Caenorhabditis elegans: one gene and its partner. The gene in region 1 interacts genetically with each later gene. Each region holds a gene or a part of one and is shown on either strand. Other genes may lie near its edges.

Region 1 (11,694 bases):
GGACCTCGGAACAATTGCATTCGAAGACATTCCATTCCCAACTCTTCAGCCGTCACAAACTATTGACCAATCGGAAAATTGCCCGGAAGGTTGGATCCGATATTCCGATTCATGCTACTGGGTGGAAACGGAGCTTCTTGGATTCGCCAAAGCCGAAAGAAAGTGTTCTGAAAAGCAATCGACACTGTTTGTGGCCAATTCTATCGATGAGTGGGAGGCAATTCGTGGTCATTCAAAAGACTCGTTTTCTTCGTGGATCGGTCTTGTTAGATTTTCCCACTACGAGAGATCCGAGCAATTGCCACGTTGGCAGACCGAAGGAGCTGTCAATCCGTCTAAGATGTGTGTTTACTTTGCAAGTGTTCTTTTTCAAAGAAAAAAATTCAGAAACTGGTTGATCAAGCCGTATAGTCCACTCGTCAATGGATGGTCACAACTTGCCAACTGTGCTGCCAGTTATAAGTCCCCAGCCTCTTTGGAAACTGCTTCATACACTTATTTCTACCCATGTACATATTTATTCTATTCGATCTGTGAACGGAACTCGACCATTGCTAATTCATTGCATTAAAAATGTAAATAATCTTACATTACAATTACCATCTTGTCATCAAATCCATCAAAATCTCCTCTTCTCCCATTACCTGTCATCGACTGTACTTATGAATTATGTAATTCTCACTACTCCCTAAAGATTCTCATTTTGTACTTGTCTTAAACCATAAAAACTGAGAATTCCGAAGTAACTTGCAATATTTATTTTTGCTCGCATACCATGTACGAACACCTAAAAGGCGGGCTTCACTTTGGACGAACGAAGTACTTATGATCATTCTGTCTTGGGAACATTGGAGCAATATTTCTAGAGAAGTTACAATTCAAAGTTAAAATCATCAAATCATTTTGTCTCATCTGACGACACTTCAATAATCCTCTTTCTTATTGTCATCTTATAACACTTATCAATTTCCTAGTTTGCTTTCCATTCATTTCAGAAATGAAACTACTTTCTATACTTTTTATTTTTGTATCCTCATATTCCTTCTGTCTAGCTGCTCCAGCTACGGATAAAGTCAATGATTTACCAGGATTGACTTTCACACCAGATTTCTTTCATTATTCTGGATATTTGCGAGCTTGGACAGACAAATATTTGCATTATTGGTTAACCGAATCATCTAGAGCTCCAACTCAGGATCCCCTAGTTCTATGGCTCAATGGAGGACCGGGATGTTCTAGTTTAGATGGGTTAATTGAAGAATTGGGACCATTTCATGTAAAGGATTTTGGAAACTCTATATACTACAACGAGTACGCCTGGAACAAAGTAGAATTCCACTTTTAATATTGTATGAGAAAGTAACAATTTCAGTTTGCAAATGTCTTATTCCTGGAATCTCCAGCAGGCGTTGGATATTCTTATTCAACAAATTTCAATTTGACAGTTTCTGATGATGAAGTATCTCTACATAATTACATGGCTCTTCTTGATTTTCTATCCAAATTCCCAGAATATAAGGGTCGTGATTTCTGGATCACAGGAGAATCGTATGCAGGAGTTTATATTCCAACTCTGGCCGTACGTATTTTGAATGACAAGAAAAACTTCCCAAATTTCAAAGGAGTGGCGATTGGTAATGGAGCCTTGAATTTTCCAAATAACTATAATACTATGGTTCCATTTTACTATTACCATGCTTTAGTTCGTGACGAGTAAGTTGGTTTATAATTAATCTAGATATTGTACGTTGGTTTGCAATAAGTTGAAGCATAGTCCTATAAAAATTGACTTCAACGTTTATTGAATAATCTTCAAAAATTGGCACCGCGAGTGATGAGATCGTGACAAGACCTAACGGAAATTGCCACATTTTGATAACTTTCCTTCTACCTGATTTTTCAAATGATACTTCTTCATAATTGTATATTTTTTCAGTTTATACAATGACATTGCAAGAAATTGTTGCAATAACAACATTGGAACATGTGACATCTACAGCAAATTCTTTGATCCAAATTGTAGAGACAAAGTTATCAATGTAAGTTGGAAACAGTTTCTCTCAAAAATGTTTTAAATTTCAGGCACTAGATGGTACTAATGAGCTTAATATGTACAACTTGTATGATGTTTGTTATTACAATCCAACCACAAATCTCAAAAAAGCTTTTATCGAAAGACAAATGAGAATAGCCGTCGGATTACCAGCAAGAAAACATAATGCAGCTACCGTAATACTAGATTTCAGAAACTACTATAATTTCAAAATACTTTCAGACAGTTCCGCTTTGTGCTCAAACCAATAATACACATGTTTATTTGAATAGAGCGGATGTTCGGAAAAGTTTGCACATTCCAAGTTCTCTTCCAGCATGGGAAGAGTGTAGGTTGGTTTTTGTGGGGTCTATGTCTTCTCGGTATTACCTGGAGGAAAGTTTGCTAGAATATTGCGTAGTGTCATCTTACAATTAATTAATCCTAATTGTTTTCTCTTACAGCGACCAAGTTGGAAAGAATTATGTAGTAACACATTTCAATGTGATTCCCGAATTTCAGACAATGATTGCTGCAGGAATTAAAGTTTGAATATTTCAAATTAATTTCAAGTATTTAGAATTGTTTAGATTCTTGTCTACAATGGAGATGTGGACACTGCTTGTAATTCAATCATGAATCAACAGTTTTTGACATCACTCAACCTGACAGTTCTTGTTAGTTTCTCTTGTCTTTATTTTATATTTAACTTTTATTTTTTAGGGAGAACAGGAGAAAGTGAACGAGGCTTGGCACTACTCCGGCCAGACTGGAACTGCAGTAGCTGGGTTTCAGACCAAGTTCGCCGGAAGTTTGTTGCCTTTAATATCATTTTAAACCTACATAACCATTTACAGATGTTGATTTTTTGACCGTTCGTGGAAGTGGCCACTTTGTGCCTGAAGACAAACCTAAGGAATCGCAGCAAATGATTTTTAATTTTATCAATAATAAGGACTATTCTACTCCTATTCAACTTTGATCATTGACTGTGATTTATTAATTTTTGGAGAAGTTTCTATTTAAGGCAATAAAAAGAAAATTGAGTTACTTAAAAGTAGCGAAAATCTGGGAAATATTTTTAAATGAATCCAAATTTGCCTCTGATTCCGAATATATATGTGAAAAAATTCAAAAAATCTTCATTGATTTCACTACTCCATCTTTAAACTACAAAACTTAATAAATTCTAATTTTTGGTAATTTGGCAGTTTACCAAAAAGTTTGGCTGAATTTTTTTTGAGTGTTTTGTTATGGTACAGAAATACGTTTCATGTTTTTTTTTCAAAATGATTTACAAAAAAACTTCAAATTTCTAATTGTTCCTTGCCAATTGTACTAATGTTGACCTTTAGTATGCACCAATGATAACTGGATATTCTGTTTTTGGCAGATAGATATATTTGAATTTCAGATGAGTCTAATGAATAATAAATACCACGAACCTAGCCATCATTCGTGTTTTTATTTAACCAATAGAAGCACCCATCGAAGAAATAAAGGGTATAATGATTTTTCAATGAACCTGTTCAACATCCTAATGTCTTTTGTCTTGCAACAGAAGTTGACAGAAATTATGTGGTATTACGTTTAAGTGTAATTCTCAAATTTCAATGTATGGTATCAGCTAATTTAAAAGTTTGGATATTTCAAATTTAGTACAAAACTTAGAAAGTTTCAGATTCTATACTAAAAACAATTTTTTCAGAATTGTGAATTCCTTGAAAGTGTAATATACATGTAATAGAATAAATTATGTTTATGGGATACGTTTTGCAAATTTTTATTATAAGTGGTTTCGAATTTATCCGATTTCTGAAGCACAATAGGTCTTGCCACGAACAAAAAACTTTGAAGCAGATGTTGCACAAAAAGGTGTGCGCCTTTAAAGTTTACAGTACTCTCACTGTCCTCTTTCTGATGTATTTACTTGCGTCTGAAATCCTGAAATAAAAACCGCTAGACCAACGAAAACAAGATTTTTCAAACGAACACAAAACAGACGGAAAAGAAGGTAGGTTGAAAAAGAACGAGAGATATGTCAATCTAAATGTGTAATAATATCTCGAATTTCGGGTCTGAAAATCAAAAGTCGAGCTGAAAATGTGATCAGCAGACAGAGGGAGGTAGTATTAGAGTGCACGGGGTGCAGAAAAAGTACGAGAAATACCCTTTCCCACACTGTTTTCTCTTGCTTTCTCCGCTTTTCGCTAGTTTTAAAGGTGAACAGAATCCAGTTGGATTGGGCTAGACATCACATAAAATGCGGAGATTTAGAGAAGGCAAGCGCGCCCTAAAGCAAAGAGGGCGTGCACGAGACGGCGGGTCGATTCAAGCTCTAACTGTCTGCGTCTCCACTATTGAAAGGTGCTTCACCGCTGTCTCTAATCCGATTTTCTTTCTCTTTTCTACCTTCTTTTCTGTCTTTTCTTTTTTGTTTCCTTCTCGTAACACTCAAATCTTCCTTTCGTATAGTCGTTCGTTTTCATCGTTTTCCGTTAGTTGTGTATTTTCAGGAAAACCTGAGATATTTTCAATTTCCGAACGTTTGTTCTCGTTTAATGCCCAACCGCATCATAAAAACGTTAAATATGTTTCTCCCAAATGGAGAAAAGAGCAAATTTATGATTGAAAAACTAAAAAAAAGTCATGACTAAATAGTTATTATGCTCATCGAAAAATTTGCCAGTTTAAATGCTATTTTATCGATTTTCTGAAATGCCCTGAAATCTTTGATTAAAATCACTATTTTGATTCTCTATCGAGACATATAAAAGATTCTTGATTTATTTTTTAAAATAAGTTGAAATTATAAACACAAATTTGACGATAAACACCAAAATGTGCGTTACCTTTTCATTTGCAATACATATTATTTAATAAGTTTTTTAAATGTCAATCTTCAAATATTGTGTTGTTAAATTCAAACTCCCAGATGTTTTATTTGCTATTTTCAGCTGAAATTCAGATATTCCTATAACAATTTATTTTTCTATTTGGATTAACCAGTTCACTGATTCTGTAAAAGATTACGAAATCAAGAGAATTCTCGAAACAAAAAATTCATTGCAACGTTGATACAATTTCATCTTCGGAACATTTTCCCTTTAATTTCCTTTAAATTTCGATGATACTGATTAACTCACCTGATTATATGAGATCTTTCCGACTTTAAATTGATTTTTACACAAAAACATTGTTCTCTAAATATCGACATATTTTTATCTTCTAATCAATCAACACTCAATAATATCCATTTAATTCAGGACATTAAATGTCTTCACCGCACCGAGCTTCAACAACTCAGCAGCTGGCGGACTTATCGTTGACGGAAGGTGAACACGATGAGGGCAAACCGCTTTCTATTGACTACCTTCAAGGGCACGAAGGCCTGATCGAGGTAAGGAAAACGAGATTTCCCGTCATTCTAGCGCCATCATAATGTCGTTTTGATTTTTTTTTTTTTTTTTTTTTTGATTTTTCCCAAATCTTTCTTCAACTATCATCACCTTTTTCAGGAAGTATTAAAATGGAGTGAACACGAACAGCTCGATTTTATGGACAAAATTGTTCATCGATTATCACATTATCAGTTGGGAAAAGTCGACAACTTTATCAGGCCCATGCTCCAGAGAGATTTCATTAGTAATTTACCAGGTAAAATTTTTGTCTGTTCAGTATTAAACTAATCTAATTCTATTTTATTTCAGCACATCTTGTCGAATTAATTCTGTTTAATGTAAACTCGGATTCATTAAAATCTTGCGAAGAAGTGAGCACAAGCTGGCGATGTGCACTCGCCCGTGGTCAACATTGGAAGAAATTGATTGAAAAGAATGTTCGAAGTGATTCCCTGTGGTGGGGACTTTCTGAAAAAAGACAATGGTTAGTTGATGATTTAGTTTATCAGAAAATAGGAATAAAATACTTGATTTCAGGGACAAATTCCTGAATATCAGTCGAGACATGTCAGTGCGACGAATCTGTGAAAAATTCAACTACGATGTGAATATTAAACGGGATAAGCTTGATCAGCTCATTTTAATGCATGTCTTCTACAGTAAATTATATCCAAAAATCATTCGAGATATTCATAACATTGACAACAACTGGAAACGTGGAAACTACAAAATGACTCGAATAAATTGTCAATCAGAAAATAGCAAAGGAGTATATTGCCTTCAATATGACGATGACAAAATTGTATCTGGTTTGAGGGACAACACTATTAAAGTCAGAATGATATTATTTTGATTTCAAAATAACTCTGATATTTTTAGATTTGGGATAGAAAAGACTACAGCTGCAGTCGAATTCTTTCTGGACATACTGGTTCCGTTTTATGCCTTCAATATGACAATCGTGTAATAATTTCTGGATCTTCTGATGCCACAGTACGTGTCTGGGATGTCGAAACTGGAGAGTGCATTAAAACGTTAATTCATCATTGTGAAGCTGTTCTTCATCTTCGATTTGCTAATGGAATAATGGTAACATGCTCAAAAGATAGATCGATTGCTGTCTGGGATATGGTTTCGCCACGCGATATCACAATTCGAAGAGTTCTTGTTGGTCATAGAGCAGCTGTAAATGTCGTTGATTTTGATGATAGATATATAGTCAGTGCAAGTGGAGACCGAACTATTAAGGTGAGAATTTGAAATTAAAAAACTGCTTTTCCAGTTATTAAGAAGCTTTTTTTTTAATTTAAAGGTGTACTTATCGTTTGAGTCTCGTTTACTATTCTTGCGGTTCTGAAAATATTAATTTTTTTCAATATTCAGGTCTGGTCAATGGATACACTCGAGTTTGTTCGAACATTGGCTGGCCATCGACGAGGAATTGCATGTCTTCAATATCGTGGACGGCTCGTTGTTTCTGGATCCAGTGATAACACGATTCGACTATGGGATATTCATTCTGGTGTATGCCTACGTGTTCTTGAAGGCCATGAAGAGCTCGTGCGATGCATTCGATTTGACGAAAAACGAATTGTCTCCGGAGCATACGACGGAAAGATTAAAGTATGGGATCTTCAAGCTGCTCTAGATCCTCGTGCATTATCTTCGGAAATATGCCTCTGCTCATTAGTTCAACATACTGGCAGAGTGTTCCGCCTGCAGTTTGATGATTTCCAAATTGTTTCCTCTTCACATGATGACACTATTCTCATTTGGGACTTTTTGGACGCTCCACCCAGTGGGCTTCCGTCTTCAACAAACAGAGTAAGTACAACATCTGGATCAAATCTGTTAATTGAGAAATGGCAGTACATTTGATAGTCTTCAAAATTCGCAAATACACTTTGAAGAAAAAAAAGTGCTTGCAAATTTGTAGTCAGTTTCTTTTCCGTGATTCATATTTATTTTTCTAGGCCACCCTCCCAGAACTTCCAAACCAAGCTGCTGTCGCTCGAGCTCAAATGCTTTTTGAAATGGCTGCTCGACGAGAAATTGAGCGACGAGATAGAGAAGTTGTGGAAGAACCTGCACTGAGGCCACGTGCCAATGCTGCTCGTCGACACAATGCCGATATTGCAGCAGCTGCAGCAGCGGCGGAAGCTGCTAGAGGTGCCGGGGACAATGATGAATCGTCATCAGAGGAAGATCTGGACAGAGTTGATCAGGTTAATAATCCGAACGTGGCTGGACCAGCGCCACCGCAACCACACAATCAGAATCATAGAAGGAGGCAACCAAGACCAGAATTGCCTGTCAGACTTATGGTAAAATTGAAAATTGAATGATGAGACTAAAGATTGACAAGTTTCAGCAAGAAATGGCTGCTTTTGACAATATGCGCCGACAACAAAATAATATGGATCACCTGGGCGGAGGCGACGTAGACGAAGAGATGCCAGATGGTGGCCCATAAAATCTACACTCCTTCCCATTTTTTTTTGAATTTTTACTGATCTTCAACCGGTGCAGAAATCAACCAAACCCTCTGTAATCTTCCTTGTCATTTTCCAAAAAAGAAAGTTGAAATTCCTTTGTACAGTATCCTTTTGCATCCCCTTCCCAACTTTTCCTCTCACTATTAACTGATCTGATTTCATGTGATAATAGTGTGTGTGTGTGTCTCTGCATTCTATTCATCTTTTCTCAATCGACATATTGGAATATCGCACGCACAACCCCTTTCTTTCTTGTTTTTGTAACCGCATTCGAGTCCTGGTTTTTCTGAAACTATTTTTTTAATACTTCAATTTTCAAAGTCGCATGCTTTGCGGGTGCCCATTCATCCACTCTCACCATTTTATTTTGTTTTTCATCCCTCTTCCCATTTCTCAACGGTTTTTCTTCTACGGCGACGATTCTAAATGCTTCTATCCCCCGCTTTCCTCACCCGCACATTTTCAATCGCTTCACACAAATCTGTTTCAAATAATCGTTTTCGTTCCTAATTTTTCTCCCCTTCCATTGCCTCCAATTCCAAATTTCTTTTATTCGCTCGGAAAATTGTGTTCTGTATAGTTCGAAATGATATAAACAAATTTGGGTTTTGCTACTCCACAATCTGCCATTCCATCTTTTTTTCTAAATTAGAGTTTCTCATTATCATTCTTCTGTCACTTCCTGTCTTTCCTACGTCATTGTCACTGACAACTTTGCAGAACCGATTTGAGCATTTCTGCAACTTTCTTCTATTACATCTCTACGTCCCCATTCTTATCACACTATTTATTTAGTCATGTGACAAGAGTGATAATGAGAAAATAATTAACCTTCCACTGAATCCCAGTTTTGTAGTAGAAAAAAGTCAAAAGTTATAATCGATAAGCATGCAAAATCAAGTCATGCGACAGTTAAATGACAACATATCGATTAGATATTTCACAAGAAAGTTTACGGAATTTTCCATATTTCAATTGCAATTCGATCAAAAATGTGACAGCTCAAGTGTTTGGCAGATCAAGTGTTTGGCAGATGGGTGGTGTCACATTTTAATGCCAAAACTAATATTTCTCCTCTGCAAAAGCAAAAAAGCGGTAAGTTTGAACCCGAAGTGTGGCAAAAAAAGTTCAATTTGGCACACACCTTTGAGTTCTTATCAATTTCCGGAGAGGTTAGAATGGGATTATTGTAAAGTTCACGAATTGTCGGAGATTGGAATGTTTCACAACTATTTTCATAGTGGACACACTATGTAGGATGACTATAGATTTTTGATTTAATACGAATTCGCGAAGCAATCAAAAAACGAGTACAACACATTGAAACCTAGACGATGACAAGTTACAGTACCCTTTTCAATTGGTTTAGGAAGCGATTCAGCAGTAAATGTGATTTTTTTCTGTTTCAAATGAATACCTGGTTTTCGTGGATAGTATAAATATTTGTATTGTTATTCGAGACAGTTTATATAGTTGTTCACCCAATCATCGTTTGCATTAAGTTGTCAATACTCTAGAATTAACTATGATGAGCCAAATAACGATGCTCACTATTTTTTGCCTTCTGAATAAAAATAAATCATGTTGAGTGTAATTGAAAGTTCGAAACGTTCTACTACTGTAATTCAATTGAAATGTAAAATTAAAGATGACCTGATTTCATTTTGAATACCACACAAAACTCTACTTTTTAAGCGCAAATAAAAGTTTTTATACACATTTTTGAAGGATATAAAATTTTTTTTTTCGGTAAATATCAATTTTATTTCATAGTGTATTTCATTCTAAAACTAAAACAATGTAATTTTGTACTTTTTCGTGTAGACAGGAACTTTCTTGTGATTGTAGCTATGATCGTAGTTTTGTGTCAGAAACCACAAACCCCCCAGAATGTAGGCTATTTTATTAGGTGCAACTTTTTGAAGTAATCAAACATCTAATAAACATCAAATCCACCCTCACTCAAATGCCAGTTTCTTTCTGATCTCTAGAATTTTCAGTTGAATTTTGAATTAGTTTCAATGAGTTATTTAATGTTTTTTTTTTGGAAAACAACCAGTCAAGTTCCTTTTCGACAATATTTGGATGCAGAATTTCTGATGAGGAATCGAGTCTGATGAATTTTAAATTGAAGTTGATAAGCTGAAAGTTAATAATCAATGAACTGAAATAGGTTACCGAAATAGAAATATTCGAAATCTTATTTACTTGGAAGACATGAAAATTTCAACTCACGAATCATTTTCGAACTGAATATTTAAATATGTGAATCTCAATTCAAAATGACTTGTTTTCAAAAACATTAAGCTTATTTTCAGAGATTTCTCGATGGCTTCATTAAGCATTGTCTGATTATTCATGTCCTTTTAACGCGTTATTTGTTGAATAAACAGCTGACTATTTTTTTCATACAACAATGTTTCCTGTTAACTGCAAATGATGAATGAGAGGACGTCACAACAAGAAGCATGAAAGTGATAATCGGAAAAAGCAATGATTAATGCGCCAGGTGGCAGAAAGGGTAAAGATTGGAAATGAGAACGAGAGTTGGAAAATCAAAAGATAAATCAGGAACGACGATGATTTTAAAACGTGTTGCAATTTCCTTTACCTGTAATCAAAATATGGGAGGTCAAATAGAAATGATTGATCTTTTTATGATATGAGAAGATAAAATATTGCAAGACGACTTGGCAAGATTGAGATGTTCTGCCTTGAACTTGTGTTCTGTTATATTGCAAAGGTTATACGTGAAACGACCTAGTCGTAGGAAACATTTCAGGTAGCACTCTCAGAAATATTCCAGTTAAAAATTTTTTGGCAACAGTGATCTAAATCATTATCCTAATTGCCGAGATCTAATCATTATCCTAATTGCCAATACTTATGTTAAGTTGAATTTAATCCAGCTGGAAATCAGTTGAAGCTAGACTTAATCAGAATATGGTATAGTTGCAGGTTCATAACTGGTTGTAGGCTTATCCAGCTTACCTCTTAAAATTAAGTTCCAGTAAAGAAAACGTGAAGAAAACACATTTTAGGGCAGGGACTACAGTAGTTAATCTACGAATCTAGGTTATAACTATAGTACGACTTCTGCCCATTGTTACAATTTTATATGAAAATTGTGGATCAATTGAACTTTTTGAAAATTCATTTCTTCTTTGTTAAAAATATTCGATTAGAGGCCAAAACTTCGAGTTTTCATAATTTCCCATCAACTCGTACTTTTTAAACAACTTAAAAAATTCCAAAATGCGATTCATGCTTGTGACAATGTTTGGATAAGACGAATTTTCAGTGCAGATAATATGTGACTAAATACAAGTCTGCAGGTACTTGACTCTTCAAAAATATTAGTGCTGTATTGTACTTCATATATTAACACTTCACTTACAAACACATTTCCAGCACATTGCAATGAAACTGAAAATTTCGTAAGAAATTGATTTTCCATATCTTATGACATTTTTTCCCGCAGTGCTCATGACATTTGTTTACCGAAACAACAACTTCCTTTTATTCTTTGTACCAGCCCTCCCAGTTTAGCGTATTAGTTTCTCTAATTATCATTTACTATTGTATTTTAATGCTCTTCTTTTTCTTTTTCTTTCCTCACACTCCCATCATCCAATCATCTGACTCTCGTCCTTCTCAGCTGCTTTTTTCTGCCAATAAGATAAGTAGAGAGAGGGAGACAACACAGTTCATAATTTCACAGAAGTTGAAGAAAATGAGATGGCAACGGTAAAAAGTTGTGTATTTG
Region 2 (11,218 bases), on another chromosome or scaffold:
ATAGAGTTCTGATAAAATTAATAAGAGTATGGTAAAGGTTTCGAGAAATTGGAGTATTGAATCACATATTAGGTAGGGAAACCATTTAAAACCGTTAATATAATGCCAAATGTCATAATATCACTTTTGAGAAAACAAATTTATTTCTAAATTTACAGTCATCGTATGCTGGTGAAGGTAGCATATGTTTTATAACATGACTCTAAGAAACTCACAAGCTACATATTTTGAAGAATATTTTAGTGGGTTATGCAGTCTTTGAAGAACAATTTATAAAGAGAAAGTTAAAGTAACTTCACAATCTAGTTTTAAAAAAATGACACATTCACCAGATGATGCCAAAATTTTGCAACAAAAAAAAACAGAAAACTACAAAAATGACACAAGGAATAACGAAGTGACCTGTGCTTCACATAATGTCTCAATTGTAATTCTAGCGGTTTTGTGATGAGTGTGCTCATCAAACTCATTATCCATCTAAACGATGGGAAAACACTCACTATCTATTTTTTTTTCCTCAATTTAACCTCCTTCTTGCTCTCAGTTACACATTACACGAAATGATGTCTAATGTCTCCTACGACCACATTTTATTTTTCAAAAAAAGAGAATGGTCAGTTGGGATCAAAAAAGAGACGAGAGTGTCAGAAAAAAAGATGAAAGGAACGGAGTGAGATTGAAAGGAAAAGAAGGTAAAAGTATTGTTAGATAGGAGAGGAAAAGCGGAAACCAATTTATGTAAATTTTATTGCATTTTTCAAACGTATTTTCATCTTTTAAAAATGCTGTAAAAAGTCATTATGCATAGAATATGAAGACAATTTTTTCCTAGTACTGCATCATTGTCATCTTATTTGAAACACGTCAAAACATGACTTTCCAAAAATTATTACGTAATAAAGATATTTAACAAGAATTTCCAGTTATCTCGTGTACTAGGTCAAACGGGCTGAAACTATCCGTGGCAAATCAGATTTTTAAAAAAGTCAATTTTGTAATTACTCATGTTATATTACAAAAAAAAACTCATTATGTTTATCGACTTTCCAATATTTTGATATTGATAACGAGTGCTTGGTTACTGTAACTTAGGTTTTTAACGGATTAAACAAAATTTCATGTGCTTTTTGTTTCAGACAATTTTTGAAAGAGGAGAAGCTGAAAAAGGAATAACAAGAACAACAAAACCGTCGCAACAAGTTGCAACTTTTGGTAATTTACCATAGTAGTTTTTCAAACCTACTAGAAAATGGCCAATATGCAAAAAAAACTGTCACATTTTCCATTCATAAAATATTTCGACGTTTTCTCTTCTGAAAAGTCCACCAAAAAATTAATTGAAAATTGCGATGACCATCTTAAGTGGCGAAACTAAACAAATTAGTAGAAATATATATTACTACAACTGAATACTACTACTACGACTAATACCCTTCTACTTTTTCTTGTTACTCTTTTTTTCAAGCAATACGTACACATGAATCAGTTTGCATCTGGCAGGAGAAATTAAAAACGGAAAGAACAGAAACCAGTGTAAACGTACTCGAATACTTTGATGATCAATACAGAAAAGGAAAAATCTCCAATTGGAACAGAAATCTGTGTATTCTGTTCAACGAGCCGTCCTTCTTTTGAAATGGGTTACGAAATACATCTTTCTCTCGAGGGGCGCATAAACTTACATAAAAATAGTCGGGCAATGATGATGGCACATTGAGTTTTTATCGTGGCACCCGGGAATAAAATAGCCAAAGGTTTTATGACAGCTTTTCCGAAAGAAATTAAATATTTTTGAACTTGGCTTTCATCGAGTGACACAATAATAATAATCATTGTGTAATGTCATTGTTCGTGGAACTCTAAAAAAAACTACATATAGCTAGATTCAAGAAATTGTAACTCGAACAACACAGTGAATTTTTTTGTAATTTCTATTTTTGCCGCATCAAAACAAATGTTTTTTTTTTCAATTTGAGTTTCTTCCAATTTCAATGAGTACTTTTATTTTTACATAAAATTGATTGTTAAAAAACAAGTTTCCAATTTTAATTATCAATTGCATTTTTCTGTTTCTTTTCATTTTTTTCTGCCTTTTTAATCCTTATCATTTCTTTGATATACTTTAATGATTCTGCATATTCCGTATTTCTTTGCGTCTCTTCTTCCACACGGTGTTTCAGCTTTTCAATCTGAAAAAATTAATAAATCTAGTTTTTCCCACGACTCTTCTAATACCTCTTCAATCTCAATTGGATCTTGTTTCATAAAGTCTAATTTTGCCTCCATTATCTTTATTTGCTTCTCCAATTTGATAATTTCGATTGCTTTTTCTTGTTCAATTGCCGCGAATTTAACATTTTCGGTTTCAATTTGTACTTTTGAATAAGCGATTTCTTTTTCGAGGCTTTCAGCTTTCAAAGTGTTAGCTTCAAATTCTTCTTCCAATTGAGCAATTTCCTTCTGAAACAGAAAATATACTGGATCAGCTTATTACGATACCCTATACTTATGCCATAAGACAATACGCCAAGCCTTCAAATAGAACTTCTATTAATCTCACAACTTACAGCAAAAACCTTATCGTCGTCTTCCTTTACGCCCACATTTTCTGGCATCTTTGGGTCAAAATTAAACACACTTGAAAATATCTCATAGATCTGAAACATTTCAATATAAATGTTCAAATTTTGAATAACTACAACTTCTTTGAGTTCTGTTTCGATTTCTCCAACAATCTGATCCACACTTCGTTCTTTCGGTGGAGATATTTGTTGATGAATGTCAGCGTAGTATTCGCATTGCTGCAAGAGTTTCACACAGATGACATTTGACAGAAATGAATACCTCAGTAATGAAAGTTCTCACAGTTTCCACTTCTTCTTCAATTTCCTGTTTCAACATATTTTCCCGTTTCTCGTGAGCTTTCACGCGTGCCACTGCCATTTCTAGCATTGCTTGACTTTCTTTTCTAAAGAGACTTTTACACTTTATTAAAAGTAAAATTTTAAAAAAAAACAATTATTTTAGAAAGTGTTTTCTAGAAAAATGTGGAGACGATGGTCTTTTGAATTCGAAGTATATTTTAGTTTTAAACAATTTGATTCAAAAAATAAACCCAATAATTTATTTTTTAATTTTCTTGTTTTTTTAATGTTCCAAATTTGTGTACCTTTAATCTTCCTAAAAATGTAAGTACTTCTTGTCTACACGCCTGACTATTGCCATTTTTTTGAAAAATTAACTCACCCTACTAATAAGTGAAGTACGGTAACTAAATTAACACGTGAAAATAGACGGTAGGCAGGCAAATAGTAATTCCCTACCTAATCTTTTCAATATAAGCCTTTCTCTGAAGCTGTCGATGCTCAGAAATCAGATCAAACTCATTTCGTGTTGTCCATTTTTCTTCTTTCATTTCTCGTGATCTTGCTCGCTCCTCTTGAACTTTTTTCGCGTGTTCGCGTGCCAGCCGACGCTTCTCTCGCAGCTTTTCATAATATTTCGTTCGATTGGGCATTTTTATTGAAAAGAGATGATGAAGGGGACTTGCGAAATTTTGTTGGATTTAGGAAGGAAATGAAAAACTAAATTCACGATTTTTAGGTCACGGGTGACTGGGCTTTTTGAGCGGAAATTGGTTTTTCGTATATTTTTCTGCACACTTTTGTGTGTATGAGTGTTTTGGAGATTGTAATGCTTTTTAGATAATGTTAAAAAACAAGAATGGTCCTAAATTTTTCGACGTTGCAAAACGGGTTTTTCAAAAACGCAATTGAATATATAACTGTAATTCATGCGCTTTTCTCAGCTGAACACTATTTTAAAGTTGGAATAGCGACAGTTGGAATATTGTCAAAATATACTCATAATGAATTTAAAAATTACTATGTAGATATATGGACTCTAATGTGTTTTAGGGTTTTTCAAAATTTTCAGACTTTTTTTTTTGGCAGATTGCCAATTTTTTTTGGTAAAACGTGGACACTTGGAGATTCATGTAGCATTTTTGTATATTCAAAGTTCTACAATTTTCAGACACGAAAATATTTTTGAACAAGTTCCGAAGTTGTAATAGGCGCTACTAAAGACGTATAAACTTTTGTGTTTGGTCTTGCAATGAATGAAGTTTCTTGTTCGCAGAATAAAAAGTATACAATCTTCGCTGTAAGATCCAGATCTTTTTTTAGGTCACATTGGAAAGTTGAAAATATTGCCAAATCGTGGCAAGCAAAAAATTGCAACATGCTAATATCTTTCTAACCCTATAAACATCCCTTCAATCCCCTATTTTTCAAAACCCCACACTTATAATACCTTTTCCCTTCAACCCTTACCCGTTCCATCACTTTCCTCCCTATTTGCATCTTTCTTCTCTCACATGACCCGTGATGCTTTCTCCAAACCAGTCCCCACCATCCATTTCCGTGCTTGCATCATCATCATCATAGTCGTCAATTTTTCAAGATTGTATCTGTCTCCCTCTCGTTTCCCCACAGCCGACTTAACAAACACCTCTTTTCCGCACTTTCCGCACCAAAAACATGTTTGCGTCTCTCCGTGTTTTCTACCGAGATAGCCACACGTCAAGTAAGCGCCAGTGATCTCTCAATTGATAATACTTTTTTAAAAGGTTTCTCAGTTAACTGAACAATTGTGAGGAAGATACAAATAGTTATGACGTGGCTTAAAAAGAGAAAAATGATGATGAAATAAATCATCACTATTCATTGCTATTCGTTAGAATGCAGGATATAAATCACGATTTTCGTTTTCGAACACAACTTTAAACTTCAATTTTTCCTTTGTTTCTCTGAAAACTTTGCAGTCATTTTCAAGCTTCCACAGAACTTTACAAAAAAACTAGATTTTCTCCAACGTGGCGATATTCCCGAGTTTCGAGAAGAATCCAGCTTGTCAATGCTGTATAAAACCTTTACTTTTCTATCGTTTCCATTATTTCTTTCACTGCACCTGTTACTGCCAGGTGCTTTATTTCCGCCTATCGTCTATTTTGTTTTCCTCCTACCAAATTTGACAACCCTCCGCAAACACTCATTCCTATTTTAGCCCGGTGAAATTTCGATATGGAGAAAAACAAAAACAAGTGTGAGCTTCCACTTCGGAATAATTTCCGGAGAATGAGAATTGTACAATTTTCTCCTATAAGACCATACAATAAAATTTTATCAGAAACATGAAGCTTTGGTCATTATCATTTTTTGTTACCCTTGAAATTTGATCACAAGGCTTTAATTTTTCATGAGACGTCAATTTTTTCTGATGATAAATAACATAGTTCAAAGTATTGCGTAATGTTTCAATTTTAACATGACACATAATAAATCAGAAACTCGAAAAACGTATTTAAATATAGATTTTGTCGGGAAGTTTAATGTGCAACTGTCTCGATATCTTTCTTTGAAAACATTTAATTTTTATTATATTTTCCAAACTGGATTCGAGAATTCTCGTATTCTTAAACAAATTTACAATGAAAATATAAATAATTAATTTAAAGGAACATGTTCTGCAATCCTCCCTGGGTCCCGCCACGAAACCGCCACGCACTACCATGAAAGGCGCGTTCGCATTCGTTCTGCCGCTCGTTTCTGTTTTCCAGATCTTTCCATCATTTTCTTCATTCATTCGCGCTCTCTCATTATCTTGAGTTGCCGGCTATTTTCGCTGCTCTCTGCTTTTTCGTATCGCTTTTTCACTCTTTCCAGCATTCAGAAAATTGCATTATTTCGGTTTTCATTTAAAAAACTCATAGCAAAGTATTTTGTTATTGATTTCGCAATACTTTCGAAAAGTATCGGAAAATTTTAATGTTTAGTCTGTGCGTTCCTCATTCCCTGTTCTCGTTGTACTCTTAACTGATGTTTTTAAATTTAGTTTTCCGGGGCTCTCTTGAAAAGACCCAATAGTCGTATTGAACCTTCGCCTGATCGCCACTAGCTCATCTTTTAGTCTTATGACGGGCTCACATGATTCTCCCCAGTGTCCTCCCGTTTTCTCACTGCACTTGTTTTGTCGTTCGTTCATCAGTACAAAGTACAAGCACTTTCGCGTCTGTCTGAAAATTGGTTCGGGTGCCGTTAGGACATTATTCATACTTTCCTGCTAGTCGCAGATTATAAAAAAATGTCCTTGACCGTCTGCTCTTTCTTATGTTCTCCCTATATATGCGTCAAACGAACAACTGACCCTGTTCACTTTTCCTATTCTTCGTTTCATCATTTTCTGTAACAAAAATGGAAACAATACTTTACACAGACGTCACTATTATTCAGGCCTATGATTTCTCTATCGTTTAGTTAAAGATGAAAAGAAACTGGTCGACCCAGTTGCATGACGAGAAAAAAGAACACCCCGTTCGATTTTCGTTGTATTCCCTCTGCACACATTGTCCCCTTCTTCCTCATCATTTCTTTCCCTACACAGCACTCTAGAATGTTCTTCTTGTGCAGAAAGAGTGCCGTTTGAGTCAGCGACCCCCCCCCCCCCCCTCCTTTCTCTTGCTCTTCCTCACTGGTTCTCGTAATAGGCGACTTCTTGCTAACAGAAAGTGAGCATAGCAACATTTTTTACTTTGTGGCCTTCAATAATACGTGCGTCGTTTAATTAGAATGTTTGAGTAAAGTTCAACGTGTAGATTCAATATTCACGTTTTGGGCGCTCTTTAATTTATTACTGTCAAGAATCAGTTTACCAAACGGTGAGTTTCTTTTTTTTTGTCTAATTGTAAGATTTAGCGGGGTAAAACCAACAGAAATGTCATGCTTTTTTGAATAATCTCAATCAGTTGTTATATGAATTATTTTCCCATTTTAGCAATACTGCTTGGTAGTTATTTTCGGTCAGAGAAACGAGGACATCAGCTGAACATCTGCGTCTCTAACAACACTCGGGGAAGGCGGAGTCAGTGTGCGCGTGCGTTGGGGGTTTTATCGATCGTTGAGGCGGGCATACAGCAGTCATACACCCCATTCGACCAGAACGCTCCGCTCGCGTGCCACCTTGTCTCCATTCTCATTTCACTTGTCTCTACTCGGACATTACTCCTCATCGATTAGCTCTTTACTACCATTTTACTTTTATGCCTTTCTTTTTTCGTTTGACTTGCCTATGACGAGTGGGGATGAAGTTTGCTTTGTTAGTCTTACTAGTGTATCGATTTTTTGGGTAATATTTCGCAACTTTCTAGGACTTTCTTTCATAATCACCTCTTCTCTCGCCTCCTCATTCCAGTTTTATTCGCACTCATTTTCTATTTTTTCAGCAATCATGCAAATCTTCGTCAAAACGTTGACTGGAAAAACTATCACCCTGGAGGTGGAGGCTTCCGATACCATCGAAAATGTCAAAGCCAAGATCCAAGACAAGGAAGGAATTCCACCAGATCAGCAGCGTCTCATCTTCGCCGGAAAGCAGCTCGAGGACGGCCGCACCCTGTCTGACTACAACATCCAGAAGGAATCTACTCTTCACTTGGTTCTTCGTCTTAGAGGAGGAATGCAGATCTTTGTCAAGACTTTGACTGGAAAGACCATCACACTTGAAGTTGAAGCTTCCGACACGATCGAGAACGTCAAGGCCAAGATTCAAGACAAGGAGGGAATCCCACCAGATCAGCAGCGTCTTATCTTTGCTGGTATGTTACATATAACAAATTTTGTTCATGAGAGACTAATTTTTTTCCAGGAAAGCAATTGGAAGATGGACGCACACTCTCTGATTACAATATTCAGAAAGAGTCTACTCTCCACTTGGTGCTCCGCCTCAGAGGAGGTATGCAGATCTTCGTCAAGACATTGACTGGAAAGACCATCACACTTGAAGTCGAAGCTTCCGACACGATCGAAAATGTCAAGGCTAAGATTCAAGATAAAGAAGGAATCCCACCAGATCAGCAAAGACTTATCTTCGCCGGAAAGCAGCTCGAGGACGGCCGCACCCTTTCGGACTACAACATCCAGAAGGAATCAACTCTTCATTTGGTTCTCCGTTTGAGAGGAGGTATGCAGATCTTCGTCAAGACATTGACCGGAAAGACCATCACCCTCGAAGTCGAAGCCTCCGACACCATCGAAAATGTCAAGGCCAAGATCCAAGACAAGGAAGGAATTCCACCAGATCAGCAGAGACTTATTTTTGCTGGTACGTTGGCAAAATATCTAATATTTGACCTAAAATTTATTATATATTTTCAGGAAAGCAACTCGAGGATGGCCGTACCCTTTCGGACTACAATATCCAGAAGGAATCAACCCTCCATTTGGTGCTCCGCCTAAGAGGAGGAATGCAGATCTTCGTCAAGACTTTGACCGGAAAGACTATTACTCTTGAGGTTGAAGCTTCTGACACTATTGAGAACGTGAAGGCCAAGATCCAAGACAAGGAAGGTATCCCACCAGATCAACAGCGTTTGATCTTTGCCGGAAAGCAACTCGAGGATGGCCGTACTCTCTCCGATTACAACATCCAAAAGGAGTCTACTCTTCATTTGGTTCTCCGTCTCCGAGGAGGAATGCAAATCTTCGTCAAGACTCTTATCGGAAAGACCATCACCCTCGAAGTCGAAGCCTCCGATACCATCGAGAACGTGAAGGCCAAGATTCAGGACAAGGAAGGAATTCCTCCAGATCAGCAACGTCTCATCTTCGCTGGAAAGCAGCTCGAAGACGGCCGCACCCTTTCGGACTACAACATCCAGAAGGAATCAACTCTTCATTTGGTTCTCCGTTTGAGAGGAGGTATGCAAATCTTCGTGAAGACTTTGACTGGAAAGACTATCACCCTCGAAGTCGAAGCCTCTGATACCATCGAAAATGTGAAGGCCAAGATCCAAGACAAGGAAGGAATCCCACCAGATCAGCAGCGTCTTATCTTTGCCGGTACGTTATATAGATATACATAACTCAAATCAACTATTATTATTTCAGGAAAGCAATTGGAAGATGGGCGCACGCTCTCTGATTACAACATTCAGAAGGAATCTACTCTTCACTTGGTTCTCCGTCTCCGAGGAGGAATGCAGATCTTCGTCAAGACTCTTACAGGAAAGACCATCACGCTCGAGGTGGAAGCTTCTGACACTATTGAGAACGTGAAGGCCAAGATCCAAGACAAAGAAGGTATCCCACCAGATCAGCAACGCTTGATCTTCGCCGGAAAGCAACTCGAGGATGGCCGTACCCTTTCGGACTACAATATCCAGAAGGAATCAACCCTCCATTTGGTGCTCCGTCTCAGAGGAGGTATGCAGATCTTCGTCAAGACATTGACTGGAAAGACCATCACACTTGAAGTCGAAGCCTCTGATACCATCGAGAATGTGAAGGCCAAGATTCAAGACAAGGAAGGAATCCCACCAGATCAGCAGAGACTCATCTTCGCCGGAAAACAACTCGAAGACGGTCGTACCCTCTCCGACTACAACATCCAAAAGGAGTCTACTCTTCATTTGGTTCTCCGTCTGAGAGGAGGTATGCAGATCTTCGTCAAGACATTGACCGGAAAGACCATCACCCTCGAAGTCGAAGCCTCCGACACCATCGAAAATGTCAAGGCCAAGATCCAAGACAAGGAAGGAATTCCACCAGATCAGCAGAGACTTATTTTCGCTGGTGAGTTCATATTGTTTTTAGAATTAAAACTAATTTTTATTGTTTTTCAGGAAAGCAACTCGAGGATGGCCGTACCCTTTCGGACTACAATATCCAGAAGGAGTCTACTCTTCATTTGGTGCTCCGTCTCAGAGGAGGTATGCAGATCTTCGTCAAGACTTTGACTGGAAAAACCATCACTCTCGAGGTCGAAGCTTCGGACACCATTGAGAATGTCAAAGCCAAAATCCAGGATAAGGAGGGAATCCCACCAGATCAGCAACGTTTGATCTTTGCTGGAAAGCAGCTCGAGGATGGACGCACTCTATCCGATTACAACATCCAAAAGGAGTCGACACTTCATCTCGTTCTTCGTCTTCGCGGAGGAGACATTTAAATCGAACCCATCAATTCACTCGTTATTCCTCCTCGATCTCCGTTCAAGTAACAATTATTTATTCTTTATTCCTTCGGGAATTTCTGTATTTTAATGAACGAGCTCTGAATAAATTCATTTTCGTGTACTCAAACGATTTATCTTTAACAATAACAAACAACAAAGATAACTACTCTATGAAGTGTAAGGTTCAACTATATTTATAGATCAGATGCTGGATTGTCCTATGAGTTGCGCTTTCAATGTCTGCGAATTGGCGTCGGTGATCAGAATCTTTGCATATTGACCAGGTTCCAAACAGAGTTTCGAATTGTCGAACACTGCTTTCACACCACCATCGATCCTTCCATGTGAAAATGATGCATCCCTTTTTGACTTCTAAAAATATTATTTTAATTCATTTTATTGGTGTTTATAGATGACTCACTCCTTCCAACAAAACCGTCTGTTCCGACCCGATAAGCGCTTGGTTCAATTTCAATGCTTCTTCCCGAAATACAGTAGTCAAATCTAAATGTCTTCTTGCTTTTACATCTTCTGGAACATCGTCTGTTAACCGATGATGTGCTCGCGTTTTCTGAAAATAATCTGATAGGAACAATTTTCAGCAACTGACTCACTCCACGCATACTGTAGGGGAAAACGAAGCAGAATGAATAACGAACGGCTCGAATGAGGGAAAGTGTGTTCTGATGAGCTTGTTCAGTTTCTCCACAGAATCCGGCAATGAAGTCACTTGTCAGAGAGACGCCTGATAAAATAATTAAGTTTTGTTTGAAGAGTGATTCATACTCACTTGGTAAAACATGTCTAATATCATCAACTAATCTCAAATACAGATCTCTTGTGTATCCTCTTTCCATCCGTTCCAATGTCTCATCATCTCCACTTTGTGCTGGAAGATGAAGTTGTTTGCAGAGATTTGGACGGGATGCAATAAGCTCGATCAACTGAAGGTTATCATGATTATCAATTAAAGCTTCATAAAAGTTACCTGCATCGGGAAATCCTTTGGATGCGGGGAAGTGAACCGAAATCGGATATCTGGAGCTGCATCAGCGACTTTTTCAAGCAATGTTGTAAAGGTCAGGCCCCCACTTTTTGGTTTATAAACAGTCTTAAAACCGGGAACTCTGTCCTCTTGTGATGTCGATGGAGCCATTGAGAAATCCATCGATGTCATATCTCTATAGCTATTCACATTTTGTCCAAG

The links.
Region 2: of lin-23 (region 1) and ubq-1, changing one suppresses a phenotype caused by changing the other (phenotypic suppression), as found in Caenorhabditis elegans (one study listed by BioGRID).

Annotation. Positions count from the first base shown.
Region 1 is NC_003280.10:6,366,007-6,377,700, forward strand, and holds lin-23 (F-box domain-containing protein), read left to right. Parts: upstream 1-5,296; 5' UTR 5,297-5,306; coding exon 5,307-5,432; intron 5,433-5,550; coding exon 5,551-5,689; intron 5,690-5,742; coding exon 5,743-5,917; intron 5,918-5,970; coding exon 5,971-6,265; intron 6,266-6,312; coding exon 6,313-6,681; intron 6,682-6,816; coding exon 6,817-7,257; intron 7,258-7,406; coding exon 7,407-7,757; intron 7,758-7,798; coding exon 7,799-7,906; 3' UTR 7,907-8,544; downstream 8,545-11,694. Other genes in the region: clec-88 (C-type lectin domain-containing protein), read left to right, coding at 1-571; Serine carboxypeptidase ctsa-4.1, read left to right, coding at 998-1,327, 1,373-1,713, 1,937-2,039, 2,083-2,229, 2,276-2,385, 2,497-2,578, 2,623-2,709, 2,756-2,843 and 1 more. UniProt on the Caenorhabditis elegans protein: Functions cell autonomously to negatively regulate cell cycle progression. Required to restrain cell proliferation in response to developmental cues. Probably recognizes and binds to some proteins and promotes their ubiquitination and degradation.
Region 2 is NC_003281.10:5,933,704-5,944,921, forward strand, and holds ubq-1 (Ubiquitin-related), read left to right. Parts: upstream 1-7,282; 5' UTR 7,283-7,287; coding exon 7,288-7,654; intron 7,655-7,704; coding exon 7,705-8,160; intron 8,161-8,213; coding exon 8,214-8,897; intron 8,898-8,945; coding exon 8,946-9,629; intron 9,630-9,679; coding exon 9,680-10,005; 3' UTR 10,006-10,124; downstream 10,125-11,218. Other genes in the region: EGAP1.1 (uncharacterized protein), read right to left, coding at 2,046-2,189, 2,236-2,460, 2,568-2,801, 2,845-2,968, 3,324-3,517; F25B5.5 (CDK5RAP1-like protein), read right to left, coding at 10,213-10,383, 10,433-10,582, 10,626-10,756, 10,802-10,955, 11,000-11,218. UniProt on the Caenorhabditis elegans protein: Ubiquitin exists either covalently attached to another protein, or free (unanchored).